Linked DNA regions of Drosophila melanogaster. The protein of the gene in region 1 interacts with the protein of each later gene in a pairwise test. Each region holds a gene or a part of one and is shown on either strand. Other genes may lie near its edges.

The links.
Region 2: the proteins of teq (region 1) and CG42588 interact in a two-hybrid assay, tested with the Drosophila melanogaster proteins (one large-scale study listed by BioGRID).
Region 3: the proteins of teq (region 1) and CG6283 interact in a two-hybrid assay, tested with the Drosophila melanogaster proteins (one large-scale study listed by BioGRID).
Region 4: the proteins of teq (region 1) and CG5180 interact in a two-hybrid assay, tested with the Drosophila melanogaster proteins (one large-scale study listed by BioGRID).

What each region holds. Positions count from the first base shown.
Region 1 is NT_037436.4:9,070,629-9,078,948, forward strand, and holds the start of teq (tequila), read left to right. Parts: upstream 1-4,014; 5' UTR 4,015-4,150; coding exon 4,151-4,201; intron 4,202-4,435; coding exon 4,436-4,994; intron 4,995-5,043; coding exon of another isoform or gene 5,044-5,238; intron 5,239-5,391; coding exon of another isoform or gene 5,392-5,637; intron 5,638-5,690; coding exon of another isoform or gene 5,691-6,167; intron 6,168-6,229; coding exon of another isoform or gene 6,230-6,393; exon of another isoform or gene 6,394-6,828; intron 6,829-8,320. Other genes in the region: CG4911 (uncharacterized protein), read right to left, coding at 1-19, 77-893, 955-1,059, 1,118-1,273, 1,860-2,002; CG4942 (uncharacterized protein), read left to right, coding at 2,579-3,043, 3,101-3,691.
Region 2 is NT_037436.4:12,810,370-12,818,508, forward strand, and holds the start of CG42588 (uncharacterized protein), read left to right. Parts: upstream 1-3,884; 5' UTR 3,885-4,162; coding exon 4,163-4,511; intron 4,512-5,829; coding exon 5,830-8,139. Other genes in the region: Sap130 (Sin3A-associated protein 130), read left to right, coding at 1-294, 359-1,219, 1,279-1,517, 1,581-1,851, 1,911-2,081, 2,140-2,247, 2,311-2,460; Sf3a2 (splicing factor 3a subunit 2), read right to left, coding at 2,744-3,538.
Region 3 is NT_033777.3:27,018,471-27,025,274, forward strand, and holds CG6283 (uncharacterized protein), read right to left. Parts: upstream 2,909-6,804; 5' UTR 2,884-2,908; coding exon 2,844-2,883; intron 2,786-2,843; coding exon 1,806-2,785; 3' UTR 1,768-1,805; downstream 1-1,767. Other genes in the region: CG17191 (uncharacterized protein), read right to left, coding at 190-1,163, 1,218-1,257; CG6277 (uncharacterized protein), read right to left, coding at 3,630-4,615, 4,678-4,717; CG6271 (uncharacterized protein), read right to left, coding at 6,523-6,804.
Region 4 is NT_033777.3:20,554,123-20,562,032, reverse strand, and holds CG5180 (uncharacterized protein), read right to left. Parts: upstream 4,104-7,910; 5' UTR 3,982-4,103; intron 3,790-3,981; 5' UTR 3,636-3,789; coding exon 3,442-3,635; intron 3,384-3,441; coding exon 2,837-3,383; intron 2,773-2,836; coding exon 2,446-2,772; 3' UTR 2,273-2,445; downstream 1-2,272. Other genes in the region: CG5191 (uncharacterized protein), read right to left, coding at 622-676, 734-734; CG15922 (uncharacterized protein), read left to right, coding at 1,986-2,135, 2,197-2,250; att-ORFB (uncharacterized protein), read left to right, coding at 7,743-7,780, 7,834-7,910; DPCoAC (dephosphocoenzyme A carrier), read left to right, coding at 7,135-7,327, 7,834-7,910.

The DNA.
Region 1 (8,320 bases):
CCAGTAAGGTGCTTATCTCCTGAAGGATAATCAATTAAGTTACTCGTTTAGTTACAGGACGTTTTAAAGAACTCACTTCATTGTAGGCGTTCAGCAAAGGAGCGCCTGACCAATCGATCATGGAGACTTCCAGACGCTTTAGCTGCCGACCCCGAAGACGGGCAATGCCCACGAGGTTATGCGGATCCATCAAGTACCCGTGCACTACGATCTCCTCCAGCTGTTTGCAGCGCCAGGCCATCATTACGAATGGATCCTGGAGTAAAGAGACACGGCGACTGGAGTTCATGCGATTGGAATATTTGTACGGCGCGTCCACATAGTGAATGCTGCGCAGAGTTTCCCTGTAATGCAACGACATCCAGTCCAAGGCTTCGGCGTTCATCTTTTCGCAGAATAGCAGTCGCACATGGGTTACAGGCATATTGCTACGCAGCACACGATGCTGCAGTAGTGCGATGGCCTCATAGGCATACACAAGGGTCAGCACCAACTCAATGCTCGAAAAGTGATCCGAAAAGTTGGACCAGGCCGTCTCCGACACATCGGGATGCTCTTCGCTATCCAGGCCGTGCACTGCGATCAAAAGTTTCCGCAGCGGAAGCACCTGGATAGTGTGCAGCAGTTCGTCAGAAAGTGTGTCGTAGTCGAGGGAGAGCACCTGCAGGGCGGCGCATTTCTGCAGCAGGGTCGAGTCCAACGAGAGGATGGGATAGTGACTAGGATCGTACTTGATGCTCGCGAGTGTCAGCTGCAGCAGTTCCTGTGGTTTTCCCATAGCCTTTAGAAAATCATGGCCATAGTATGAGAGGGCCTCGATGGCTCCAAGGTCCAGAAGCTGGCAGGGCTGACGCTTGCGGCTTAAAAACAGAATCAACGGCTCCACAAAGCATCTGTTGGGATTGTCAGGATATCTAACTATTGAACTTTTTATTTATTTCTAATGGTACATACTGTTCGATGGCCAACAAGTGCTCGCTATGCATGTTTCCGATGGCAACAAGGCCGACATTGTGGGTTTGGAAACGCAATTTCTGGATGTTATCACAGTGCGCCACTCTGTGGGATGGAAAATGGTTAGGTTGAGTCCTCATTGGGTTTTCTAAAGCAAACTTACTTGTATAGAAGTCCTCGCATTTTCTGGATGTGAACTGCATTTTGAAAGTCGAAGACTACTATCAGTTCCATGGCCAAGTTGGCCATGGAGCGATGGAAGAAGGCCAACTGATCATCGCATCCCACATCCAATTGAAAGCGAAAGTTTCTAAAATAGCTGAGGGGTGAAAAATAGGTAATGATTAATTATATATAGATGTAAATACTAAATTACAAAATTGGGCTTATTTCTTTTCTATTTGTTAGTCCAAAAGACCAATATAATTAATTTAAATAACATAGGAAAATTACTATAAATACAATAAATGAATCAGCATAGAAAAGGTAAGAAAAATAAGTATCTTTCTCGCAATCGCTAAGATCGCAATTTACAGCTCACAGCTTATCGCATCAATTAATTTAATTAATTGCATTTATTGGCAGGGGAATTCCTCTTATCGTGGACTTTCCCCTTTTTTCAACACTAATATAAACAAACGGACCTAGGTGCTTGCCCCCACACATTGAAAGCTTGCCAAATGCGAAGAGTACAACATATAAATGTCGAACAAGTTTTGGGGTCTACGATTCGTTCTTGCTTGCACAGATGTTTTTTTGCGCTTGATTAACCCACGGCTATATAATGTAAGGGGCAATAACAAAGGAAATATACCCAATAAGTACTGAAATTAAACATTTCAGCCACATACACAAATACCTACACCCACACGGATACGGACACACCCACACAGTGACAAACTTACCGTTTTTGAAATAAGGCATGTCTCCAAGAAAAACATACACCCGCTGCCGACCGACGATCCTGGGGATTTAGATAGTCGAATATGTGATTTAGTGCCACCGATGGTATTCTGTGCCATTCTGGTTGGCGTTGGCTAAAATTCATTACTCGATTTAAATGTTAATTGCGTTTCAAACAATGAAAAGTTGCAAGTGCAGCCGAGTACGCTGCACAATTTAAAATGCCAAATTAGAGTGACCGTCGCACGAGGTCGCAAATATGCCAAGACCAAGAAAACAAATATGAATACAAGCACAATTTTATCTTAAGCATATACGTATGAAATTAAACGTCAATTAAAAAACAATTTATGCACTTAAATTAGGTCTAGCCATTTTAAGTAAGCCGAGATAATTATTAATTTAGAAATTTCAAAGTGAGTAAAAATGCAAAGGAAATAAAAGTGTTGCTGTCGTATAAAATGACTGTATAAATTTTGTTATTGTTCTCTTATCAACGATTAAATGATTTCAAATTAATAACTGCATTTCAATGTTTCCTAATTTCGGATAGCAAAAAAAGCATCGTAAGTTAAGGGTTAATGCAACTACAATGCCTAGCTACGGCCACACTGATTGAAGCCGTGTTATGGTAACAATCAGCTGTTCACAATGATAACAACTCGCACTGCTGATTCTATATAGTTGTTTACGTTGATTATTAGTTTTATATTAATTAAAAATGTCAGCTTTGCTTCTTTTACGCACCTGTAGAAGTTCATCAATTGCTGGCATCTACAAATACACATACCAAGGAACAACTATTGCGAATCACACATGCAATCATCGTCTGTCGTCTACAGAAGCGGCGGCCGCGAGTGTCCAACTGGCAAATGCCGGTGGATTGGTGGGATATTGGCAGACCTTGTCCAACAGCACGCCGGTGGCCTATATGCAGGATGTTCTCATTAAGATCCACGACTACAGTGGCCTGCCCTGGTGGGCGTCCATCGTGCTGTCCACTTTCCTTTTTCGGAGCGTGGTCACCCTGCCTCTGACCATTTACCAGCACAAAATCACCGCCAGAATTGAAAAGATAGCGCTGGAGATGCCGGCCATTGTGGAGGAACTGAAAAAAGAGGCAGCCATGGCCAAGCACAAGTTCAAGTGGAGCGAAAAGCAGACTCAGATTGTTTATCGGCGTTCGGTTTGTTAAAATTCAAATGTTTGCGAGACACTCTTCGTCATGTCAATTATCTTACAGATCAAGAAGCAGTGGCAGAACCTTATAGTTCGGGATAACTGCCATCCCATGAAGACCATGATTGTGCTATGGGGTCAGATTCCCCTGTGGATCTTTCAATCCGTGGCTCTGCGCAATTTAGTGTACATGCTGCCGGATCCCACGTCCATTCAAGCTCAAATCGTGACCACCGAAATGACCATTGGCGGATTTGGTTGGATACCAAACCTTACGGTGGTGGATAACTCTTATATCCTGCCTGTAGCATTAGGTCTTATCAATTTGGCCATCATTGAAGTGCAAGCCATGTCTAGAACTCGTCCTTCTACACGCTTGCAGAACATCGCCAACAATGTGTTCCGTGGATTGAGTGTTGTGATGGTTCCAGTAGCCTGTACAGTGCCTTCAGCTTTATGTGTATACTGGGTAGCTTCCAGCAGTTTTGGCCTTGCTCAAAATCTGCTCATCCTCTCGCCGGAAGTGCGACGATCTGTGGGAATTCCCAAAACACAAACGGAACTCAGTGAGCCGTACGATCTGCTCTGGCTAAAAATACAGCAGAGGCTAAGACTTGCCGAGAGGGCGCCGGCTGATAAGCCGGCAGCCAAATGATCTAGTCTCTTAGTCATAATCACCTAGTCTAATTTGGGTATGACGTTTAGTTTGTTTAAATGCGACTGCGCCACTGTAATTCATCATCATCATTCTTAAGCTCCAACATCTCAGATTCATAGAAGTAAATAAATGAGTGAAAAACCCCAAAAGAAATGCAAACAAAACAAGGCGATAAGACAGCAAAAAGGTCTTGAGATTACAAGCCCTGATAGTGTGGTCCACTCAATTGGTTTGGCGACAAACGAGAGCATCTATCAGCGGCGGCAGAGATAGAGATTCATCCCGAGTCCAATTGAATTGAAATGCGATCTGGGTGTGGGTCAGTCGAGCCTGGAATTCGAACGGGATCACAACGAAGAATTTAAAGCGCGAGAAAAACAATTGTGTAGTTGCTATCAGCATCGGTGCATTTTAAGAAATATTTAAATTCAAATACTTATAAAGCGGAAACGTAAAATGATGGCCAAGTGGCTCCTTGGCCTTTGGCTGGCGATCCTGCTAGTGGATGTTAGTGTAGAAAGTTTATTAATAATTTCAAATTGTGTTTTTTAAGGATATCATCTAGATTCTAGATTATTTACAATTTTTTAAGATTTTAGTCAAACTAAAAATGTTGTTTAGGAATTTAAAACGCGCTTAAGACTTTAATTTTAATTGAACTTAATTACAAGCTATTAGCTAAATTTTGCCTCTAATTACTTACGGTTGTTCAATAATATTTCATAATTGCGCTTTTGACAGCGACCCGGGGCTAAAGCTTATCGATCAGGCAGTGGCTACCACAGCGAGCAGTCGGAACCAGTTGGCTTATCAGCAACAGGGAACGCACACTCGAGTTACGGAGGCGACCAGCAGCAGCCTATTTACCATCGGGATTCGGCATGCCCGCCGCATTTTACGGGTCTGGTTGCATATCCCCACGACTGTCATCGCTATGTGAACTGCTTCGATGGCAGCCCCACCATTCAGACGTGTTCGCCCGGAACTCTGTTCAATGACAGGACCCAGGTGTGCGATCATCCCAGCAATGTGGTTTGCCCTTCAGCGGAATCTGCATCTACTCGACTGGGAAGACTTAGGCAATTAGATAGTGAACCCAAGTGTCAACCGGGAGTGAATGGATTGCAACCGCATCCTTCGGATTGCAGCAAGTTTCTTAACTGCGCCAATGGTCAAGCTTTTATTATGGACTGCGCACCAGGAACTGCTTTTAGTCCAGCATCACTGGTATGTGTGCACAAGGATTTGGCCAAATGCGGATCGGGAACTGGAGCAGTACGAGATGATACCTCCGGCACCGGTACGTATGAGTGATTTAAATACAAAAATCTTGACTAACACTCGGTTAGGCTACCCTGCGTTGCCTTTTGATGACTTGGGCTGTCCACCCGGTACACGTGGGCTTCGTCCACATCCGCACGACGTGCACAAGTATTTGAGGTGCGGAATTGGGGTTAAGCCTCAGGTGGAACAGTGTCCACGGGGCCACATCTTCGATGGCTCCTCTTCGGTATGTGTGTATTCTGACTCCCCTCGGACCTCCTGTAAGTGTCATTTCATTTCTTATCCCTACTGCTTGGCCTCGCTTGATTCATCTGCTTTTTCATTTCGGGTTATTTTCTCATATTACGCTGTACACGCTTTGCTTGCCTGCTTAGTTGATAGACTCTAATCCTGATCCCTTTGAATTGTAACAGCTTCCTCCTTCACGTCGGCTGAGATTCAGGTCAACTATCTCTTGTGTCCAGTGGGAGCCGTTGGCCAATTTGTTCATCCCTTTGATCAAACAAAATTCCTTAGTTGTAAGGATGGTAAATCGGCTGTGCAAAACTGCCAACCTAATTATGTGTTTAGCATATCGAGGCGCTACTGTCAGTTAAAAGCACAATTAGCCTTTACCGACTATGTCACATTAATTATCTCCGAAATCAGCTATGAGTATTGTAAGTTACTTTATCATCACTGTACACTAGAATTTATGATAATATTTTACTAGCACTTATCCTTAATGCCTGTCCTGGTAACATCAACGGCATCTTCTTGTATCCCTACGATGCTAAAAAGTACGTTCAGTGCTCGTCTGGTGGCAGAATGTCCATCCTAAGTTGTGGCCCCCAGATGGCATTCAGTGTATCCCAAAGAAGTTGTCTTCCAAGTCATCAAGTGCACATATCTGATCGGGTGCAGTTCTGGCAGGAAGTCCAAGTTCAGACCACTTATACTTCTCAAGACTTACGGGGAAATGTTCAAAGCCAGCTGTCTTCACTTAGATCGTGTCCACCCAATGTCCAGAAGAATTACCCTTATCCATTCCATGCTGGCCACTATGTCAGGTGCCAATATGGAGCATTAGAGATCATATGCTGTCCCACTGGACAGCTTTACAGCCTCTCCCAGCGTCAATGTGTGCCTCGTAGCCTTCTCTCTGCACATGATTACTTGGATTACTCCTATATCAGTGCTGAACTTTCCAGTAAGCATCTCAAGGAATCTTGATGACTTGGACTTGATTTCAGACCACTTTTTCGTTTACAGCTGAGTTTATGGTGGATCGTTCGACGCTTTCTTGTCCTCCACAAGCACAGGGACTCTATCTGCATCCCTTCGATTGCACCAAGTATGTCAGGTGCTGGAATCAGCAGACCTTCATTGAGAGTTGTGTAGTATGTGCCTATGCAATATTAAGAACAATTAAATAAAATAGCATATTAACTTATGGCAGCACTTTGTTGCTATGTTTATGTTTATGTTTATGCACGCAGTTAGGCCAGGGCGGATGTAACATGATCACCCACTCGAAGGCCACAAAGTATAAGTGCATTGCCCACTCGAAGGCAAAAAGTATAAGTGCATGGTCAGCATTCACACGCCGACCAAATACATATTACATACGTACATACATATCTCGCTCTCCCGATAAGCCTAGATATATAAGATATACATAAGAACGCCGCTCCGCTGCTGGCGTACCCGGCAGCGCAGCTACGCGGATTAGCCTAAGTCCAAATATATAAAAAACTGTAAAATCGGAGAGACTCTGTAGACGTTGAGCTGACAGAACCATTTCTGCCTACTCTAAAATCAAAAGAAGAAATTGAATAAATATATGTCAGCCCGACGGCTGCCTTCAACTTAAAACGGACTTGTGTTCTTAATTGGAGTTCATCATTACATGGCGACCGTGACAGTCGTCCAACGCTGGACGAATTGACCAAAGCTGGTGAAAACAAAGGAACAAAGGAACACTGGACTGGAAGAAGACTGGACTAATTAAATGGAACTGCAAAAACCAAGGAAAAATCTGAGTGAGTAGAGTTCTATTGAGTATGGGCAAACACCGTGGCGGTTTGAAAACTAAGCTGAATAAACGTATAGCCCACGTAAGGTGGCTAATATACGGTCAGCAAACGCCACCGGTTTGGTCGAAAGCTCTAAAGCTACATGCAGAGCTAGACCACTTGTTGCAATATCAGCAAGAATTAAAGACCCATAAGCTCGAGAAAACTCACTCAGATAATATTAAAAATATACCCACAATTAATGAAGTTCCAAAATACCAGGCATGTCCAGCACCAGCACCAGCATTAACAAAACCAAAGAAGTCCTGCCCCCCTGGCTGCGAAGGAATCTGGAGTCCCCACTGCCTGGGGACTTGTGAGCGACCATCGACGTCTTCAGCGGCGAAGAAATAGACAGCAGCGAGGGAGTGTCAGCGTGCCACCCCCGGCGACGCCCAGCTGACACCTGATGAGCATCATCAACAGCAGAATATAATAATAAATATATATAAATATAAAGTAAATATAAAATATATATAGATAAGAAAAATTGTAAGAAATATTGTAAAACGGAGCATATACTATTATGCCCTGTTAACCCAATATGGCCCGTGAAGCCATAGCTAGAATCAGGCAGGCAACAATGTAAAATACAATTTTTTTTTACTCTTGCGAACATTGAAAGATTTTATAAATAGATAATTCCAAACATAAATGTCTATAGAGACAAATGAAATAAGTAAAACTGAAAATAAAAGTATATACAAAGGAAATTTTCTATTCTATTCTCCAAAATATAAAATTAGTATACCCAAAATGGGTCTAATAGACACTAAAACTGTGGACTCTACAGCCAATGTAATAAATAAAGTAGAAGTCCAAAATGCAGACTTGTTCTGGATAACCATAATACTAATTGTAATTGCATTAATTATGGTATCCAATGCATTAATAAAAATATACAAACTGCATAACAAGTGTCTTAAGAAACGATACCGTAGCACTGCTAACGGTATAGATAATATTTAAGGAAGATCTTTAATAAAGTCAATTATGAATGAAAATATGAGAAAAATTATATGAAAAAAAAAATAATAAATAAAAAAAAATATAAAACGTAATATTGAATTTATCTACATTAAAAAAAAAATATATACAAATGAATAAATTTGAAGTTATGAGTATACCACAGCATGGACTGGGAAAAGCTTGTTGATCAGATAAAAGATCAAAATGAAAATTTCAGAAAATCCTATAAGTGCTTAACGCAAAACAGATCAACACAAGCTGTAACAATCAATAGGAATGCCCAAGTCTTGGTAAATAGTTATAATGAAATCAGAGAGTT
Region 2 (8,139 bases), 3.7 Mb from region 1:
GCCAGTGTGGTCAATTCAAGCTCGGTGACGGGTGCCACATCGGCGGCCGGTGGAGCCACTGTCCTGCCACTTACCATCAGTGGCAGGGGAGCGGGAGTGGGACCAGGCGGTAATATCCTCACGGGAACTCTGACGCCCATCAAGAACGCAAGCGGCATCACTTTGGGCAAGATGATGATGGCACCAGCTTCTTCTGCCCCTGGAGCAGATGGTTCCAGCACAAGCGGGGCAACAGTGACGGGCTTTCAACGCACCTGGAATCCTGTAGTTGCTTCACAGAGCCAGTTGATGAAGGTAGGTTTCAACTATCTACATATATGATGCTTCAATTAACTATTAAAACTAAATCGTTATACAGATCGATGAGAAGGGAAGTGCTGCCACAATCTACTACGAATCTATGCCAGCCTCCGCCTCCACAGGCGTTCTATCATTGACTACGACAACAGTGACGCAGAGCACCCAGGCGCAGGCACAATTGGTTAGCAGCGCCGGTGGCAGCTTGTCGGTATCTTCGTTACCCTTTGCAAGTCACGCGACTGCCGGAGCGGGATCAGGTGGCGGCGGATCGCAGGCTACTTTTACGGTGTTGCCGTCGGGGGCTGGTGGAACAGCCACCCGAACCATTGGCCACCAGCAATTGATAATACCAGCAGGACCAAATAGTGCGCCGCCGCAGCACATGGTTATTCCGCTGCATACGTCCGTTAAGGTGACCACGGGAGCGGGCAATCCGCAACAAGCAACTGCAAGTGGAGCACTGGTGTCCAGCTTTATGCGCAAGCGGGATGCGGAAGGTTCGCCAATACGGGCGGCTAAAAATCTAGGACCCACTTTGCTTTCAATGGCTAGCAATAACAGTGGACAAAACATGCCACCGGCTCCGGGCACCACGTTCAACATTCAGCCGGTGTCCGTGACAGTGCCTCAATCAGTTGGCTCTGGGCTGACCGTAGAGGCGCTGGCCAAGAAGGAACGGGAGCGAGTCACCCATGGTGTAGCAAGTAGCGCCGCTAGTGTGCCTGCCACAGTTGGCCCCGTGAACTCAACGAGAAATTCGAGGGCGGACTCGCCGGCTTCGTCGGACGGCTCAACTACAGTGTCGGCGAATTCCTCACCTGGTGTGGATCAGCAATTACAGGACAGGATTGGCGATCAGCCAGCCACGGGAGGCGCTGGTGGGCGCGATAATTCCACGCATTTTAATCCCATTAATGAGGTGTGTACACAACAATCAATATATGCTTAAGTATGGCTTTAATATTTGTTCTTCAAAAGATGTACTCATCACACCAATCGATTCAGCAGAACCTTGGTCACTCCTCACTGGGAGCCCGCAGTGGTAGCAGTGCCTTTGTGGATGTGCAAGCACCAACGCCGCAGCAACAGCAGCCTCAGCAGGTGCCTCATTTGGTGGGATCGACGCAGATGCAACAAGGAACGCGTATGAATGGTACTGGTAATAGCTCCAGCTCCAGTTATGACTGCTCCTCTAGGAAAAAGCCGCGACGATCGACGTGAGTTATTTGAGTGGTTGTATCAAATGATGCATGTTGATAATCTGATAATGTATTTGCCAGCAATGACAGCCAGCACTCTACGCAGAGTCAAGCATCCTTATCGCTGCCACCTCCAAGTTCGGAGCCAACGCCGCCGGCTGGCGCTTCGTACATGCAGAAGCACAACAATGGAGGACTACTGGTGACAGCAGCGACCCCGGGTGTTGCTCCCAACAGTGCGCCAGGCGATGCCAACCACCGGAACAGTACACCTGCTGTGGCGGGCAACAAGGAGAACGCAAATCCCGTCGACTTTGTGATTCGTCGTCCGCGCAATTGTGCTTTGCTCAATGTAAGTTGAAGGTTCAGTTCATTTTGTGGTAGTTAACAAATGATTCCGTTGATCTACAGACGTATAAGCCCACACATAAGTTGGCCAACAATCATTTTCATCGGTACACTGATGTTAAGCCAAGGGAGGAGCGGCGGGCCACAGTCATTGATCTGGCCAATCAGCCAAATGTGCAGGGCAAAATCAATGGATGGAAAATTTATCATTTACGCTCGCAAATGGAGGACTTGGTAAGCAATGGGCACGAAAGTATTGGTAGGCTACTTTGACTGAACTGATTTCTTACAGAATGAATCGGAAGTCTTTAGTCTGGGCAGGCTGGAGACCATGCTGCAGGATCTCGAAAAGGACAAGGAGAAGCACAGCGAAATTGAGCGAGTCACTGAACTGCTAAAGGTGCGCTCTTATACTTATATCCATTATGCTTGAATCTCAACATAAAACCAATTTACTTTGCAGGGAAACATTCAACGCAGCAAGATTATTACCGATGGCATCAACGAGGCACAGAATCAGTTAATGAAGATCTTCGAGCATAAGCCACACGTTTCTAATATAATCACCCGCTGCGCTTCGAAAAGGAATTTCAAGAAGCGCGAAAAGATCTAAAAGTAATTGACGAACGGAGATGGCCAGCCAAGTGTGTATTAATAAGTTGTACATTACCTAATTTAAGCAGAAATTATAGAATCCAAGATAATTACCTTAAACGCGATCGATTTGTAAGTCGTACAGCTACAAAGAAAACCAGCAATATTTTTTCAATTTATTAAGCTAGAAACACAAATACAAAAACCCTCGAGTTGTATTAAGTAGAAAATTGTTTATTATTTGAATATTTCTGTGGTAATCGGCTTGCGTTTGGAGAAATCCCGTAAACATTGTCGATGAATTAGTTGTTTGAAAGCATGGGTGGCGGTGGATGAACGCCATTGAACATGGGATGCATAGCAGGACGTGGCGGTCCCGGCATGGGGAATCCGCCTGGGGGGCCTAGTGCCCTATGTAGATTCGGCGGCGGTGGCGGCAGGATCTTAGGTTCGAACTTGAAGGCGAACTGAAGGAAGAACTGCTTGGTGTCACGGTTCCAGTGCGTCCAGAACTTGCCCTCACTCTTCTCCACTTCGCGGGACGGCACCTTGAACCCTATGGTCTCGTACGGCTCGGCGGCAAAGAGAAGGTACTGCCACTTGCGGTCTGGCGGCTCGATCTTTTGCTCGTAGGCGGACATGAAGCGGTGACGCGGAACAATGGACTCCGTGATTTCCGGGTAGTCCACCTGAAAGAGCAACGACTGCTGGCCGTTGCTGAGTTCACGCTGCTTGGTCACCCGGTAGCCGGGTCGTCCAATCTTGACGAACTTCTTCGGTTCCACGCGGGGCTTCTCGGGCGCCAGCAGCGAAGAGGGTGCCTCCTTTGCCTCCTTGGCGGCTCTTCTTGCCAGATTATCCTGATGCTTCTTGCCCTGCGTGTGGGCCAAATAGCTGCCCTCGTTGTTGTGCAGCGTCAGGCAGAGTTTGCACTCGTAGGAGCCCAGATGGTTCTTCATGAAGTACGGATCCTTGTTCAGATCGATTGTCTCCAGGGCCAGTTGACGCAGTCGCTCCTTGCGGTCGCGGTTCGTCTCCGACCAGGAGGCTACGCCTCCGCTGCCGGTCTTGCCGCCGGCGCGGTTTTGGAAGTCCATTTTGTAAACTTTATTTTAGTTTTCAACCGCACGAAGGAAAAACGTTTTGCGTTGGTAAAATTTCATGAAAATTTGTTGTACAGAACAGGGTTGTCAAGAAACGCCAATTCGGTTAGGGGTGGTAGTTTATCAGAGTCAATCGATAGTTCGTGTGCAGGATTAAAGTATTAAATAAATAATAGAATGTTTCATAAATCCATTAAAATTCTTAATGATAGTCAAATTTTTGCAAACTGTAATATACATAAAATAACTTATATATTCCTTTTGCGATGTTTTTTTAAAGAATTACATATAATATTTTGGTATATTTTCGTTCCGAAGCTTTGAGAATATTTTACTTTTTCAAAGCGGTCACACTATTAATTCGAGCTGCACATGCTTGATCTTTTTTAGAATTTAAAAAGTGAAAAATGTCTAGACAGCGATCTAAACTAAAGTAAACTAGTGTTGGTGACAAGTACTAGGCCTCGAAAAGCGTGTTTTATTTAAATGTCACTGCGTGGATTACGTCGGACTTGAGAAAAATCGAAGCAACGAGTGTTTAAGAATTTCGATTTCTGTCGTCATTTTCGTGGAATAAACAGTGCCAGTGTCTTATGCGATTTTTAAAGTAACCGCGAAATGGACAACTCCAGCAAACAGGTCATCATGGGTCCACCGGCGCCAATGACCACCACTTCTAATCAACCGAAGCCCGGTAATCCCACCAGCGCCCCTCCTCCACACGCCACCAAAACTGCTGCAGCTCCGCCCAAGCGAATAATTAAGAAGATTCAGCTGGATTTCAACAAGCTCAAGGAGGCTGGACTCGATAGGCAGCTGGCCGAGGTGCTTAGGAAGCAGAAGCTGGATGCCAAGAGGGTGGACGCCCCATCGTCCACCAGTCTTTCCACCTCTGCCGCAGCGCAGTCGACGCCAACTGCGCCAGAGAGCAAATTGCAGTCGCCACAACAACAATTGCGTCAGCCTGGTAATGCATACTTGTATATATATATATTTGCTTTAAGCTGTGCATCGCCCAAAAAACCGTTACAAACCCAGGGGTTTTGTACCAAGTGATACGAAAATCGTCTAAATGCTTCTACGAGTTTTGGGCACAGTACCGAAAACCAAAACGATGGTGCAACTGATTGAGACGCCGACAGATTGTCAAAGAGTTAGTTTTTGTATTAATTGTTCTGAGTTCGTCTCGCAGTGAGTGCGGCGCCTTCACTTTCTTTTCGTGTATCTCGATATATTTTATTTTTTACGTATTTCGAATGGCAACCTAAAATAATTTTTTTTAGTTTAAAAAAGTCTATTTTTGTTAAAAATTCAGGTCTATAGGTTAGAAATATTAGGATGGCTAACCATCTGTATCTGTATCTGAACATCTACAATATGTTCACTTGTCAAACAGGACGTTATTATTTCCAAAACATACTGCCAATAAAATTTATATTGAATAACATAATTTGGTATTTAATTATTTAAAACGATCGATATTTTAATAAGCCAAGAGAATCACATGTTTTACAAGGATATTTTATGTATATTTTAATATTCTTTTAATAAATAAATTTAAAAAACCAAAAAAAAATTAATTCGGGACATTTAGATTAGTTGGTACTTTTCTTTGAAATGAGATGAAATATACTGCTAATACTAGAACACTTCAATATTTTTGTCGTTGTTGTTAAATGTAACACAAAAAGTTTTTAACGAAAACTTTTTTTTAAATTTTAACAATTGAATAATGAGTTTAATCAATAATCATTTAATTTTTGTTGTTGTGTGATAGAGTACTAACTACGTAAAGCCATAAATTATGAAAATTTAATTGGTCAAAAGCAAATAAAATTTTACACTTAATTGTAAAATAGGGATAATGAGCTTAATTCATAAATATGATACCCTTGAAAGGGTAAATATTTTTTTTGACTACTCGTCTGGCAAACTAGATTCAAGACCCACTCGTGCCACAACAATTCGTACTCTTTCGGTGGTTCAATCGTCAAGTGCGCGCTCAAAATGAGGTTAGGGACGAAGCGTCGATGCGAGGCAACATAATTCCCTTTTTGGCCCGGGTTCAAATCCCATTGCGGTCAAACTGCCGTTTGTGTGTGCGATTGTTTTTGCTAATACATGCTCTATATGGTTTTATTTAATGTTTGCTTTAACAATGAATTGCATCTTTTATGTATAAGATGGCTTATTTCGCTTTAAAACTGTGCTCCTTTAACTTTGCTCCTAAGTTCTTCTGCTTATAGTTTCCTTTATTAATTATGTTTCACTTTTATAATTTTTAGCACCTCAGCCTCTAGTAAAGCGTTTTATGATCTCGGAACACATCGAGAAGATAGTGCCCATCCAGCCGACTCCAAATCCAACGGATGGTGACCGTTCCAAACAAGTGAAGGCGCTATTAAAGAACAGAATACTAAACAAGAGCTTAATCACGAACACGCAGGCTCAGCAGAAGCCCACAACTTCCAAAGCAGCGCCTAAGATGCCACCACCTGTTTGCCACGAAACAGCTCCTCGCAGTGGCGGGATTTCCCCAGCTCCGGCAGCCTCTTCCATGTCCATTGCCAAGGCGGACTTGACTGTCCGACAAAAGCAGCCGCCACTTTTGCTCAATTTGGTAAATCAGCTGCCCAAACATCGAGCCATGTGCGTATCGAGTGACAGTCCCTTAGTGAACCCGCACGGGACAGTGCATCAAGTTTCCCCAAGTCCACAGAGGATTCCAGTACAGCAAACTACGAATGTTTTTAGCCAACCATATCCACCTCCAGAGGTTCCTATAGCTCGAGCAGCTCCTACGGTTCCCACACAACTTCATAGGAGTCCAACACCGCCGCTAATTGTGCTGGAGCATAAGGTGTTGGCACCCAACGAGAAAATCGATTTGAGTGGGCTTCGGCTGCCCAATGCTCCGGTGGAAGCTACAAATTCTCCGGATAGCGCTGCAACACCAAATATCCAATCTAAAGTGATCAAGGGCAAGGTTATTATGAACGCCAATAAGTTTAAGGTTTCACGGGAAAAACTGGCCGAGATGGCCAAAGAGATTCGTAATCAGGCGGATCAGGTGAAACAACCTCAAGCTATGAAAACACTTAATTCAAAGGATGTTATTTCCACAATGGATACTCATTTCACTATTAACACAATACTTCAACCAAAACGAACGTCGCCCTTTTCATCACCAACTCTGAAAGGAAATATTGCTCCTTTGTATAATCCAAAGCCAAATAAAGCAACAGACTTTTCAGCTGGCTCAAGTATTCGTTCAAATCCATTACCTGTAGAATCAACAAAACAAACAATTATTGAATCGAATGAGTCTACTGAAGACAAGGCAATAGACTTTCCCACATCAGTGCCTACAACACCTGGAAATCGTTATTCGTCTGAACCAAATCAGGCCACTTCTAATTCCGTGGAACTAGAATTAGTTTCCAATTTAGAAACGGAAGGAGTTATGGCAGTTGCTAACCCAATTGATTTTCCTGTATATATTCCCTCAACTCCTGATCCGACTACCGAGTCAAGCCCTCTTAAGTCCTTTAATGAACCAATCAATTATCCAGAGGTGAATGCACTTGGATCAAGTACTCCTGTATATATTCCTATAACTTCGGAAAGAGGGCATTTAACTGCTGAGGTTACCACAGAATCGAACCTGGTTGATTTGCCTGAACCAGAAAACATACCTAAAGATATGAACGCCGACTTGGTTCAATCTGTTCCTTTAATATCCAAATTGAATAGGGAACCGAACACAGAAATAGGTGATATGCATTCTCAAGCGGACACATCAGCAGTGAGTCAAGAACAATCGAGTTCTTCTGCGGCCACATCACCAGAGCATAAAATCCAATCCGCTGTAGATTTCATAGCTCAATTGACCGCTGAAAATCCGCTCGATGAAAGCAGCTTTATGGATCTTTCACCGGAAGAGCAAAGATTGAGTGCTCTATTTGGATTTGGAGGATGTTCGTTTGCTAGTTCATCGGTTACGCAACCCGAGGAGGAGGAGCTACCCATCGGAAAGATTGTTAAAATGGACGATATGAATATATTGCATGCTACTTTGGATATAAGCAGCGACAGTACAAATGTACTGAGGATTAGCCCGAACGCAGTAAAAATGCAAAGCAGTGTAACATCATTGAGTACACCATTGGTGGACTTACAAGTGGGAGACTCAGCTCTGGAGGACACTAATATACACAATAACTTCCCAAACCCAGTAGATAATACCACTGCAAGCGAATTGCAAAATGTGAAATCTTCGGTAACCGAGACCTCAATTCAAGAGGCCAACGATGAAACAACTGTTATCACAACTTTGCCAAAAAAATGTGACGAAAAATCACAAGTGCCTTTGGAAGAGGTCAAGACAGCGTCAGATCCAGAGCCCTTAAAGGAGGTCAATCCTCCTGTGAAAAGGGCACCTATCAGATCCAAAAAAGCTAAAATTAATCTAGTGCAACGCACCAAAAGACCAAGCATCCAAAAGCCAATTGAAGTGAAGAAAGCCAAGTTAGATTTTGAGGAGGAGGACGAGCAGGCGATGGCTATCGATCACAGCCTGATGGAGGATCGATACG
Region 3 (6,804 bases), on another chromosome or scaffold:
ATCTAATAAATTTATATTACAGCCCGTGGGAATATGCTATCTATAAAGGTTTGCTTTTGTTTAAGTGGTTTGAAATCCTGGTACACTTCACCTGCGAGTACTTGAAAATCGAAATCAAAAAATAGCTGAATTTTATTGGAGTACTAATTTTTTGTATTTTGATAAGATGTTCAATATAATAGTTCCCCTCTATTCGATCTTTCCGAAGGGGGCCTGTCCGTTTACGGGCACATAGAAGTCACCGTCGACCATGTAGGCGTTGGTAACAGCTCCCATGCGAACTCCACTGTAGGTGCTTCCGCACTCGTTGGCCAACGCAGCCTGGTAGTCGTGACACTTGATCGTTCCAAAGTTATCCTCAGTGACTGCCTCCACGTAATACGTTACGGATCGTCCGTGGGCGCAGGTTCCTCCGATGTCTGAACCGCAACCTGGTTGATTTCTTCCTCCATTCGGATAGAAAGTGCCTTTGCCAATGGGTTTTAGGAAACCCTTTTCACCCCCATTGGTCTGAATAGACTCGACATAGAAGGCATCTTCGGTGGACAGTCGCTTGTCAGGCTTATCGTAGGCAAAAAGAGGCATGGCAGGATCCAGACCGACAATCGTGTGAACCCTTTTGCCGCCCACCTGCTTTCCAGCATAGCCAGCCACATGGGCACCCAAACTGTGTCCGATTACTTCCAGGCTCTCCATGGACAAATGATGGTGTTCATGCAGATATTCAATCATTTCTCCCACTTTGGCTCCAGCTCCAGGAACAGCTCGCACCGATGAGATATAGTCCACGGACTGGGCACGATCCCAGTTAACAACGATCACGTTGTAGTCTCCCTTCGAAAGCCAGGCTCGGGTGATCTTGACGTTCATGCCATCAGTGTAGCGACCATTCCACCCGTGGATTACGAAACGAGTACCCTGGTTCTTATCGAAATGAGAGTCTTCGATTGATGAAGCATCAGCCCTGATTTCCTTTCCCACGGTTGGGTTATGTTTGGTGTACAGGTAAAAGGACACGTCATTGGAACGTGTTTCGATGAGTGAATTTCTATTTAAGAGCTCCTCGGCATCCTGTTTGTCCATCCACTCGAAACTGCCGTCTATCTGAGGCACATACCAACCATTTTCACCATTGACACGTTCCTCAATGGGAAGAGCACTTACTAGAAACCAAGAAATGTTACCACTAAATCGCAATAATACGCTCTATAACTCACCTGTTGCCAACAAAGCCGCTAGAGCTATGAACACTCTCATATTGATATCTTCGCAGAATCTAACGCACTAAGCCAATTTACCACAGCTTTTATAGGCTGTAAGTTATCAAAAAGCAGCACCACATATAAGATCAGGATAGTATTGTAAGATAATCTTATCATTTGAGGGCTATTTATTCGTTTTTAATGATTGTATATTTAATCCCCAATATGACGACATTTACCCGCATAGGAAAGCACACAAAAGCTACACAAATATTTGTAATCTATGTCATGTATTTAATCTATTGCCAGTCAGATCAAGATATTCTCGATTGATTTCGAGTGCTTCGAAAATCCCAGTGTACTTCAGGTATGAGTACTTTTTGAACGGTGGTAGGTCCTCCAAAATCGATGGGGGTTGCTAAGTATAATTTAGGGGCTGGCGAAATACGACTCAAAGAGCAAATCATAAATACAAGTCAAATTAAGTCAATTAATAATTGAAATACAAATGTTCATATTTTTCAATAGAAGGCCTAATTGAATGAAAGAAAGACTATAATTTTTTGAGTATTCAGTAATGTATTTTATTCAGAGAACATGGTTCTACTCAATCTTGCCGAAGGGTGCCTCGCTGTTCACGGGGACATAGAAGTCACCCTCGACCATGTAGGCGTTGGTAATTGCTCCCATGCGAACGCTGGAGTAGGTGCTTCCGCAGTTCTTGGCAACGGCATCCTCGTAGTCATGGCACTTAATGGATCCAAAGTTGTCCTCGGTGACGGCCTCGGCGTAGTAGAGAACGGAGCGTGCGTGAGAGCAGGATCCGGTGGCGTCCAGTCCGCATCCGGGCTGGCTCTTGCCTCCATTGGGGTAGAAGGCTCCCTTGCCGATGGGCTTCAGGAATCCCAGTTTGCCGCCGTTGGTCTGGATGGACTCTACGTAGTGGGCATCATCGGTGGATAGACGCTTAGCGGGCTTATCGTAGCTGAAGAGGGGGAGGGCAGGATCCAGACCCACAATGGTGTGAACGCGCTTGTCTCCGACGGTCTTTCCGGCGTATCCAGCAACATGGGCTCCCAGGCTGTGTCCGATCACCTCCAAGCTATCGTAGTCCAAGCCGTGGTGGTCGTGCAGGTACTTGATCATCTCACCAACCTTGCCACCGGCTCCAGGAACAGCCAGAACGGAAGAGGCGTAGTCCACGGATCGGGCACGGGCCCAGTCAACGACGATCACGTTGTAGTCGCCCTTGGACAACCAGGCCTTGGTGATGCGGGTGTTCATGTCGTCGGAGTACCTCTGGGTCCAGCCGTGGATGACGAAGCGGGTGCCATGATCCTTGTTGAAGTGGGAATCCTCGACGGAGCCGGACTTGGCCTTGATCTCCTTGCCATCGGTGGGGTTCGACTTGGTGTAGACATAGAAGTTCACGGCGTTGGTGCTGATGCGGCCCTCCATCTGGGCTCCGTTGGCCAGAAGATCCTCGGCATCCTGCATGTCCATCCACTCGAAGCTTCCATCAAGCTTGGGGATGAACCAGCCATTCTCTCCATTGACGCGCTCCTCAATGGGCAGGGCACTCACTAATAGAAATAGCTTATCAATTACTTGCGTCTATTGCCAATATGGATGAAAACTTACCGGCTGCCAGTAAGGCGGCAAGAACAAAAAACACCTTCATGTTGGGGGTCTCAAATTATTGTGGTGGAGAAAGCATTCATTTCACGCTTTATATAGGCCTGAAATAATAACCGTAATCACCATTAAATATCAGTAAGCACTTGAGGCTTTGACAGCTTCTGAATAATAAGATAGGGCCGATACAAACGATTAGAACGTTGTACTTTGATAGCGTTTTCTCCAACGAAGTTGATAAGGGAAAAACCTAATACAGTAGAGCTTTTCAAGTTGCATCAACACAAAGATAAGGTCCAGGGTCACAACACTAACCTTGATATTATTTTAATATTATTTGCATATTATAAATTACACGAATTAAAAGTCTTGTACTTTTATAACTTTTCTTTTTCCTTTATTCTTTAAATCGAATCTTGTAAAAGTTGATTAAAGTTCCTTAATTCGTTTGTTTATTTTAACCATGAAACCATTGTTACAATTAACTAACTAATGACTAACGATCTCAAGGTAAGCCATATAACGGTCAAGTGTAACCATAAATGTTAATAAACGGAAGTGGTTGGCTAGCAATCTTATGGTTTATGGGCGGCTAGATTCGACAAGCAAGTTCATTGAAGAAAACAAGTCATTTTTCGTCGCCTTTTTATGTTCGAAAAAGCCAGATATCAAGTGGAAATCAAAGGGATTTCGCAGAGGAAAACACAGTTTTGTAATGCCCATAAAAACCAAATATTGCCTATTAGTAATAAAACGGAGAGTTACAGTTTTTTGAAGTTTATTGAGTTTCTATTAGTTAATCATGCCGAAGGGAGCCTTGCTGTTTACGGGCACATAGTAGTCACCCTCGACCATGTAGGCATTGGTATCAGCTCCCATGCGAACGCTGGAGTAGGTGCTTCCGCATTCCTTGGAAACGGCTTCCTCGTAGTCTCCGCACTTCATGGTTCCGAAGTTGTCCTCGGAGACGGCCTCGGCGTAGTAGGTTGTAGAGCGTCCGTGGGAGCAGGCGCCAGTCAGGTCCAATCCGCATCCGGGCTGGGTCTTTCCTCCGTTGGGGTAGAAAGCTCCCTTGCCGATGGGCTTCAGGAATCCCAGAGTGCCACCATTGGTCTGGATGGACTCCACATACCAGGCATCGTCGGAATTCAGACGCTTGTTGGGCTTGTTGTAGCTGAAGAGGGGCAGGGCGGGGTCCAGACCAATGATGGTGTGCACCTGGCCGTCGGTGTTCTTGCCGGCATATCCAGCCACATGGGCGCCCAGGCTGTGACCAATCACGTACAAATCGTTCAAATTCAGACCGTGGTTGTCCTTCAGGAAGTTGATCATCTTGGCAACCTTCTTTCCGGTGGCAGCGACAGCCAAAACAGAAGTCGCGTAATCCACGGAACGAGCACGGGCCCAGTCGACGACGATCACGTTGTAGTCTCCTCTGGAGAGCCAGGCACTGCGGATGTCCTTGTTCATGCTGGCGGTGTAGCTCTGGGTCCAGCCGTGGATCACAAAGCGAGTTGGATGGGCGGAGTTAAAGCTGGAGGCATCAATGGACTTGGTGGAGGCGGTGATCTTCTTGCCCTTGGTGGGGTTGGAGGAGGTGTAAAGGTAGAACTTTACGGGAACGGTGGTCAAGCCACGACTTTCCAGCAACTCTTGGGCTTCCATCCACTGTTCGGCAACGTCCATGTCCACCCACTCGGAAGTGCCATCCTCCTGGGGAACGTACCAGCCGTTCTCCCCATGGACGCGCTCAGATTCCTTGATCGGAATAGCCGAGGCTGAAAGGATGTGTTACATGTTAGACAGTATTCTTTAAAAATGGAAATTCTTAAATTCTTACCGGCCAGAGCAAAGAATGCCAAAATCAGGAATGTCTTCATAACGTAGCGGAGCCCACAACTGATGGTAGTTCAGTCCGAAACCCATAGCTTTTATACGTCCCCAGTGGGCCAACTTATCACGGAGTGATTAAATCGGTTGGCCGTACTTTGGCTGCCTGGGAGGTTTAGGTCATTTGAATTGCCGTTCTGATTGCCGGTCATACTGCCATTGTTTTTTTTTTTTTTAAGAACTCCAAATCTGATGGCTCTTTTATCGGCTGATTGGCTTTTCAATTGCGCCATTCGTGAACGATTTGCGAACTGATTCTTCGATTGTTGGATGTTAACGAGTATGGAAATTTGTATGTGTTGCCAGTAAATTCCAATCGAGACACGAGTCATGAATGGTGGCAAACAGTTGCCTTCACTATCAGCTATCGATTACAATGGTTGGCGTCCTCAGCCAACTTAATCTTCTGTAAGTCGGGTTAAGTGGACGTAATTGTAGGTATCATTAAATGGGCATTTAATTTAACACTCCAGTGCATTTTTGTTTTGCTCGACTTGTGTTATCTTGGTCAGCTGGTGGTTTGTAATCTTACTTAACGAAGGTGTAAAGCTGGGGCATTAAAATCCGGAAAATAACAAGCAAAAGTATTTTTAAGTCCAAATCATCTTCTGTTTCAGCAGTAAACAGGAAGTGTAATATCACAATGCAGCCGCCTAACCGGAAGTTACAACCTTGAAATTTGTTCAAAAATGTAGGCATAATTTCAGGCTCTTTTTAAATTGGCGTTTTCTCTTAATCATCGCTTATTGAGAAATTAATCCAATTAATAACGTGAATATGAACATGAACAGAAACCGCAGACCTCCACAACTTTTAATTATAGTTCATTATAGACAGATTCAGTGAGCATTTTGAATTAATAGCCAATCGAAGAGTATGGTATTTCACGTGAAACTGTCTCACATTTTGGCGTTTGATTAAGCAAATTAAACACAAACAGCTTGCAAATATCCTTGTTTAACATTCGGGCGACTAATATTTGCTTTTTCTTGTGGTTATGTTAACCACAGTTAAATACTACTACTACTCGTCCTGTTTTAAGGGGATTCTAGGAAACAAATCCCTACTAAACTTGATAATTAAAATGAGTCAGAAGTATAACTTAGGCACTGTAAAATAAACAAACTATCCCGCTCATATATAAAATGACCGATGGTGGAATACATTGTTGGTCTCTTTCCCTTATCAGACTGTTGGGGCTCAAGAGCTCGCTCCAAAAATATCCTATCTGACGATTAACTGTGCGAATCTGAAGTAGAAAGCGTGAAACTTCAATCTTCAATCCACCCGGTGCACATACTTGTTGTTAAATACTTGAAATGCTCGAGAGCTAATTGGGCCACAAGGACACACAGACCACCTACGGCAGCCAGTTTGTTATTCAAATATTTGTGCGTCATGCCTCACGTGGGTGGTGCCTTCCACTATCATATTGTGCAAATAAATGTGGCAGTTGACTTTTCCGCTGGAGAAATTGCATTTGCAGTTCGCTCATTAATTATAATTACAAATATGTCAAACAAAGTGTGAAAATGCTTTCGGTGAAAATGGCAAAGATTGGCTATGACTGTGAGAATAAAGAAATGGATTATGTAAATTATATGAGACCTTTATTATCAGGGTATTTATTTATGCTGGATTATGTATAAACATATTTGATCTTGGTAAAGAGCAAAAGAGTCGTAAGAAACCATTCCTATGAATAAAATATCATATTTTTTGGCAGCCCCTTTTAGATTTGAAAACTTTAAAAGAATTCGAATATTTTTTAAGCATCGTTTTTATTGCACAGCAATTAGTTAATCATGCCGAAGGGAGCCTTGCTGTTCACGGGCACATAGAAGTCACCCTCGACCATGTAGGCGTTGGTATCAGCTCCCATGCGAACGCTGGAGTAGGTGCTTCCGCACTCCTTGGCAACGGCTTCCTCGTAGTCTCCGCACTTCATGGTTCCGAAGTTGTCCTCGGAGACGGCCTCGGCGTAGTAGGTTGTTGAGCGTCCGTGGGAGCAGGCTCCAGTCACATCCAGAGGGCAGCCGGGCTGGGTCTTTCCTCCGTTGGGATAGAAAGCTCCCTT
Region 4 (7,910 bases), on another chromosome or scaffold:
GGCTTAAGAACAATATGCGCGCCTTTAGTTTAAGGCAGTAGTTTAAACAATGCATGAGCCATTATGAAACGGTCTTATAAACGGTCTTCAAAGGGTAATGTTCAGATTTCAGCGATATACATAGAAAGATTACATGAAACCAAGCTCCATGGATATGAATAATATATTGCTTAAGCAGAATTATAGACTTTTGATATCATTTCGAAAAATAGAATAGGTAAATACCGGCCAAGCAAATTTAGACTGCGTCAATACGTGAAAACATTCTTTCCACAGCTTCCATCAAGTAGATCATAATATCATAAGATCTAACTGATTATCAAATATTGACCTTAATGTCGATCGAGCTATATGTTGTCTACACAAGAAGTCCTAACGCACTCTACACTTTAAGTCCTTGATGCAATATTCTCCAATGATTCTGCAGTTGTCCATTGACCTCTTTTCTTTGTGACAAGAAGGTGATAGTCGTTTTCTTCTATGGATTTCTATTTCTAATAATAATTTCTATTCCCTGGCCTTGAACGTAATCGCTTGATTGGCCTGTTCCGACAGGCGGAGTAGTAGCCGTGCAGGATGAGTGATTGGGGCGGGGTTCTTGCGCACCGGCGATTCGCTTACCTGAGCCACAGCTCCTCCAGGTGCAAACGGATGACGGTCACTATCGATTTCAGCACTGGCAAAAAGGTCGGATTTAGGGGCAGGTGGCACAACTATGGGTGGGAGAACTCACTTGCAAATCAACCAAAAATACAAATATGTAGGTCTGTATGTGTATGTGTATAAACTGTCCAATGGAGCGTCTGCTCGCCAGGAACCCAAAACTAAAACTGAAACTACAACTCAAATTGCAGGTGCTGTCCAAAATGGAATAGCAACAACAACGGCAGCGACGTCGACGTCTATAACAGAATTTGTTTGTTTTGGCCCACTGTTGTCGTTGTTGTTGTTACTGCCGCTGCCGTTGTTGTTTGTGTGCGCAAAGTGCATAGACCGCATCCGCGTCTTAGCCTCCAGCTTGGCCCCAAAGCCAGCGCCCCATCCGATCCCGCCCACGCCCCTCCGGCGACGCGGGTGTGGATTTCGCACTTAATGGGTTGAGTTGGGAATATGGGAAAAGGTTAGTTGGCGACGCAGTGGGCTATCAATTAACAGTTAGTTAACTGCCTCTTCGCCTTGCCTGCAAAGTGTGACCAGAACAGGGATTGAGACGGGAGGTTACGGTCATACTTAATTTCTAATTTAATTCATAATTTGAAATAAAATTGGTTTTATTGTGACGATAAATTTATAGCTTATTTTACGGTTTTTAAAACAGATTAAGTTAAAATTTCAGATTTCAGCTTATAATTATTTCATACATATTTTCTAATTTTTCCGAATTAGTTTGTCCACTAAGAACTTTAAGCACCTAAAATTATTTTTCATCTTTCTGTTATTTGAATTCAAAGCTTAGACAATTTTAACTTGTACGTAAAGTAGTATAATTACACATTTTTGTTTTTTAACTATTATAATCTTATGTTAGTTATAAAAGCGAAGGACCTTACCAGTTACTTCAGGCCTTCTATAATCACAAAAAGTCTTTAAAGAATTTCGCAGCAACTAATATACCCTACGAGAAGTGAAGTTCCCCTTTACAATGCCATTGATCTACTCTAACCACCTCCACCGCATTTGTTATTAAAACCAGCCACCGCAACAAACTAATGACAGATGCTTATCTGCCCAAGCAATCGAAGTCCCAGACAAAGAATTGCGAGACGTTTAGTTTCCCATTATTATCCCCGAAAACGTTGGACTTTGGACCAAGTTGGGGGAGATAGAAACTTTATTCAAAACTAGCCGCCCGTTTTGGGGCAGCGTTATAGGTTGGTATTTTTCGTTGATAAGATTAAACAAACATCGCAATGCGGTCACATCGTCATTGTTGATTTGTGATAGCTGTTAAATAATAATAATTCCGTTTTACGAATTTTGTAAAGATGAGCAAGCAGCCCTCGTTCGTGTCGCGCAACCTGGTGGCCGTCGTGATGATCCCCAGTCTGGTGGGGATCCATCTGGGCTGGAGCTACATGCAGAGCAACCGAAAACTGGTCACGGAGGCGGAACAGATCGAGATGCCGCCGGTCACGGTATGTTAGTCCTAATTCTTAAGGCGATCACCTCAAGACAGCAGCTCCTCTTTTTGTCCAGTTTGCCAGGTTTGTGTGGAACAAGCTAACGGGCGCAGGAAGTTCGACGGAATGACAAACCCTCTGGTGATGAGCTTAAGACATACAATCTATTTATTGTATAGAATAATTAAAACTACATGCAAACTGTATGGTACAATCGGCTGCTGCCCGGGCGACACATGTTGGCCGGGCTGCAGGTTGGGACACAGACAAAATGGAGATATAAAGCCAGAGACTACACATACTTAGTCTAGGGGGACAAGAGAGATTACTGCGTGAGGGCCGAGTGAACGGTGAGGTTGCCCAGCTGTGCGTTGAATAGAACGTCGCTGATCAGTTTCTCGGCCACGATCCGCTGCGTCGGGTTGATGGAGCGCAGTTTGCTCGCCACATTCACGCCAATGGCATCGTACTCGTCGTCTTGCCGGTGCGATGTGCTCGTAGCCGCTGTGGTGGTATAGGCAGTGGTGCCGGCATTGCCAAACAATGGCTGATAGTGATCGCGGCCTATCTGGATGGTGGGAACGCCCTGATGTTGGCCATTCGTCTGCTGCAGGTGGAGCTGCTGCTGGTGGTGCTCCAGATGATTGACCGCCTGCGTGGGGAGAGGAGGTGATTGAAGACCCTAAGGAACTCTTCACTGCTTTGGAGCTACTCACTTGTTGTATCTCGCGCTGGGAGTTGGAGTCTAGGGAGGTGATCTCTAAGACCTTCACGGCATGTCCCTGAGCCGCCGCCGCCGCAATGGAGGTCTGGGCTGCTGCATGGGCTACCATTTGCTGGTGTGCTTGGGCTGCGGCTGCCGCTGCTTCGGCCGCCTGGTGCTCCTCGCTCTTGACAAGGGTCACACATTCCGCGGGCGTCACCGAAATGGTGCTCAGAGTGGCGCCCTGACTGCTGACGACCACATTGTTGGCCGTCGCCGCGACTTCTTCCACATCGTCCGGGGACGTGGGTATTATGGACTCCATGTGCTGAGACTGAGTGCCCGTGTGATGTGAGTCGTCCTCGAACTCCATTGACTCCTCGTCGTCGAAGCTGATATGGAGTTCTCTCTTGGGCTTGGAGCCGAGTTCGTGGCGCTTGGGCTTGTGGTCAGCGATGAAAAGCAGCTTGTCGTAGTACCACAAACGCGTTGCGTAGTCGCCTTTGGTACTCGTCTTGCGGAATTCCCGCCGAAAAGCGGACCGCAGTGAGTTAATTTTCCTGTAAAGCGTGAATTGTGTTTACTGAACTGTGGCACATTTGACATGGAAATTCTCACCTTACTACCATCGCCCTGTCCGGATTGGGCTCCACTTCTTTTAGCTTCTCCACCAGGCGATCGTAGGACTTGTTACGGGCTGTGTGATTGCTGTAGTCGTTGTGCTTGGGCTGCCAGAGGCACTCCTCCTCTTGGTACTGCTCGATAAACTCCGTGAGCCAGTGGCGTGAGTACGAACGCAGGTCTAAGTTCATGGTCCCTTTCACTCGCGTTTTATTTGGGGTTTTCTCAATTAACTTCAGCTTAGTATTTTTTGTTTTCGCTGCGTCTCGCGTGAAGTTGGCTGCGCCACAAACGTCGGGGCGTTGCCAACCCAAACAAATCATCGCGGTCGAGATGGTATCGAGCCTGCATTTTTGAATATAAGGAGCAAAAATTTAAATTAGGCAAATAAAGTAAAACAACTTTAGCCCCTTAAATAAAAAGTGATCGACTTTAACGTTAAATATGACAAAGTGCATACAAATTCTCTAAAACTGAATAGCTATGTGATTCATTATCCGTTTCATTACAATTTTAAGCCAGGAAATAATGATTTACCCTTTGTATTGCATTTATGAGTGATACGGCATATCTATTGCAAGTCAAGAATATATTTTGTTTAATAATATATTTTAATGTTTATTTATGTTTAATATTTTGTTTAAACGAACTTGTATGCCAGTGAATAACACAAATATCTGTAGCACTTGTTGAAATTATTTACAACGTTTTGAAAGGGTGCTTTCTTTTACAATTGACATGACGAAACAATGACATAACGGCTCTGGAACAAATTTTATAAACAATTTTTGACAGCAGTCCTCTCTTAATTTGCACCACTGTGCCACAGTTAGAGGGTTGCGGTCTGGGCTTACCTCCAGCGTGGACTCCACCCACGCCGTCTGGCAGCGCAGTCAGCATGGCAACGCCGAGCGCAGTTCTCGATGTTTTTGTCAATTGCTCTTTGGAGCTTCGCAGGCGGAGTCCGAGAATCGCGCGGAAAATGTGCATTAACAAATAGAAAAATCCGAAATAAAGACAAAGAATTAGCTCGCGGTTAAAGAGAATACAGCACCTGTGTTTTTGGAATCGAAAATCAGTGCGAAACGCCTACCACTGCTGTGTGTTGTTGTTATTGTTGCCAAGGCCGAAGGAGCGAAAAGGGAGGCCGAAAAAAAAGAATCTGTGCTAACAAAAACAAAGGTGCGTGTAGGGCCAAACACACATGAAATCGTACATATGTACGCATATGTATACGTGTGTGTGTTCAAAATAATTTGTTGTTCTCGTTTTGCCCAATTATATAAGGTGTCCGTGTGTGAGTGGTCTTTTTGGGATGTTGCAAGCGTTTAATCGGTGTAAACAAGAGCGAATAAATGGATTGCCAAACAGTTGGTGCACAGTGGCCTTTATCGCAAAGTACTTAAATTTAAGAGAAACAAACAACAACACTTACAAGCAACAGCTGTTTTTCATTCCCCTAGGCGCACTCAGTCCAATCAGAATTAAGTCACGTATGATTCTTATAAATCAAATCCAGTTTTGTAAACAACAAACAAAAGTATTCCGAATTATTGTTCAAGGAAATAAATTGGCTAGAAAATCGCGCATGTGAAAGTGCACTTTCCGAGTAATTTGCATAAATTTCCATTGCCCCATTTGGTTTTTGTTATTTTCCTCCAAGGGGGTACAAAGTCCAGTTGGAATGATGTTGTAGCTGCTTTACTATCTACATCCCGCATCGACCCCCCCCCCCCCTCCAACGGGCTATTTATAGCAAACAAATTTCATAGCCAGAAGCAAAGTGGAAAACACTTGCTGGATAAACTGGATCCGTAGTAAGCCACAACCTTGACTGAGTGCAATAGCAGAGAAAAAAGTGCACAAACACCGCCTAACGAGCTTGTTTACGTTTATCAAGCGCCGGCAACAACAGCATCCCAGTGCACAGTGGTCGAAAAGTGTCGTTCATCGCTCGAATTCCTTATCAAAAAATTTGTTTATGGAGGGGGCACATATCAAGAGGCTGTGCTAAAATCACACTTAAGCCGCAAGCAAAGGCGCGGAATATTTGCTAAACTACTTTTGGCCCAACTTTTCAAGATAGAAGAGCTGAAATCGCTAGGTACAGTGATTACTTGTACCAGAAGGTTGCATTTGAAACGTATCAGCCTATAAAATCAATATAATTTAGTTAATTTCCTTAATCTTAGTAGTTGCTTAGTAGTAGTTAGTCGACTCACTTCTATATAATTTAAAAATAGTAAAATATGCTTACTGCCATCCTTAACCAGTATCCACTGTACAGCTCAGATGCTCACGTTCAAGGTTGCACTTTTCCACTCATTTGCAATCGCATTGATGAACGCTCTCGGTTTTTGCTCCCAAAGATTTCCCGCACCGGCTGCTCAATGAAAAGCGTTTAATTTTAGCCGCGCTCAGCTGTTGAACTTGGAAAAGTGCCCAACCCCCCAAAAAAATCGGTAATCAAAACACACGTGCTGTCATATTCCGCACATTCGGGCGAGCTGAGCTCACATTTTAATATTTCGGCATGATAATTGTTTTGGAGGTGTGTGCCACACATAAACAGGTACATATATATGTATGTACATATATATACACTGGGCACTTACTTATGTACATATGTACATATATCAACTGATAATTCGGTGCCTTTTGCCTTCCATAATGAGCAAACGAAACCAACCGGTTTGCGGGCTTGTTTGCTCTTTGGAGTGCGAGAGAGGCGAGAGCGGGTACATCGATCCGTTCCGATCTCTTCTGGAACACTCCACTTCTATCTAATGTGAGACCCAATTAGCAGCTGGCCAAAGCCTTATCAATTCCGGCTGAGAACCCGAGTAGTTGGCTCGAGAATGACTCGACTTGGGGCCCAAAGCAAAGTTCAATTGCCGGGAGCCAATGGTACTTGGCCAGATAGCTGAATATTGGTCAATATTATGGGTTGGTTGGACGCTAAAAGCCATCCGAGTGCCTATTTTTGAACCTATGCCAAGGGAACGTGCTTCTAACAATTACGAAACAATTGCGAGAGCAATTGAATATTATTTGCATGAACTTGCGAAATGTGTGTTTTCGCTATCAACAGGCGCACATAATATTTTCCTGGGCTCCATAAATACACCTGTCTGTGCAAGAGTAGCACCCAATTTATTTACTCTTCACAATCAATACAATAATAAGAGCAGTACTATTGTTTTTCATTATTGGTCACACATATCAATTATCAGCGAAATCCAAAGCTGTGTTTTTGTCGTTCGTTGGCTGATAAGAAATCCAAACACTTGTCATAAAGTTGCACCTAAACTATTAGCTACTGTGCTTAGAAGAATTCTAGATTAAAATAAAATCATTTACCAATAATTCATGGTACAATAGAAATGCTTTCAGTTTAAACCTAACCTGTTAGTTGGATTTTAGAAGCTTCATTCTCAAAATATTAATATATAAGTTAGTTGTGCTATTATGTTGACCTCAGCTGTACAGCAGCGCCCACTCAGTTTGCTATATGTGTCTCTGCTGGGAAGTCTTATGAAAGCAAAGCAATTTTCGGCTGGTTTAGATTAGTTTTGGCCATATTGAGCTCTTATCAGTGGTGTCGATAAGCCTGCGCTTTTTTGGTGGTCCAATATAGCCGGCTCAGATTGATATGCAAATTGATTTCAGGTCCCCCAGTCCGAGTCTGCGATGAGCCGACTCCTGGAGAAGCCCAACATCGCCATGTCCATCAAGTCCACGGGTAGTCAGCTCTCGAGCACGATGACGACAGCCTCGGCGACGCTGTCCTCGGACCTGGACGATGCGGACACATCCCGCACCCAGCTGAGTCCATCGGAAACATCTGGAGTAGTCCTCGTACCCGCCACTACAGTCACACCCAGTAAGTAAGGCGCAAAAGACAATTCACGAGAGATTTGTTTTCCAGACGCATAGCCAAGGATTTCAAACATTTTGATACTTGAAGGCAGTAAATAAAGCTACAATCTTAATTAACATGTACAAAAATCAAATTCAATGAACTTTCTCGCAATGTGATTTCCAATTCCTAGTAACTACTAAGCATTATAAAATGGACCTATTTAACTATGAGCTTAAATCCAGGACTCATTTTATAGTAGGCACTTCGATTCCACTTGAATGCCAAACATGTCCAAACAAAAATTAGGGAAACGCTAAATTACATTGGCGACACAATGAAAACTCTTGAATTTTTGTGTTTGTCGACAGTAAAATGTCGAGTATTTGACTTCAAACCGAACTAAATTATAGAGCGTAGTGGAGTGTCAAAGTTTCCTATGTCCCTCCGTTTATTTATCCATAGTCGCGCATTCGGGTATGAATGCATATTGAGATTTTCTATTCATTTTCTACCATTTACTATTTCAGTGCGCCAGAAAATCGACCAGGTGGTGATCAGCCTGATATCCGGAGCAGCGGCGGGGGCGCTGGCCAAGACGGTCATC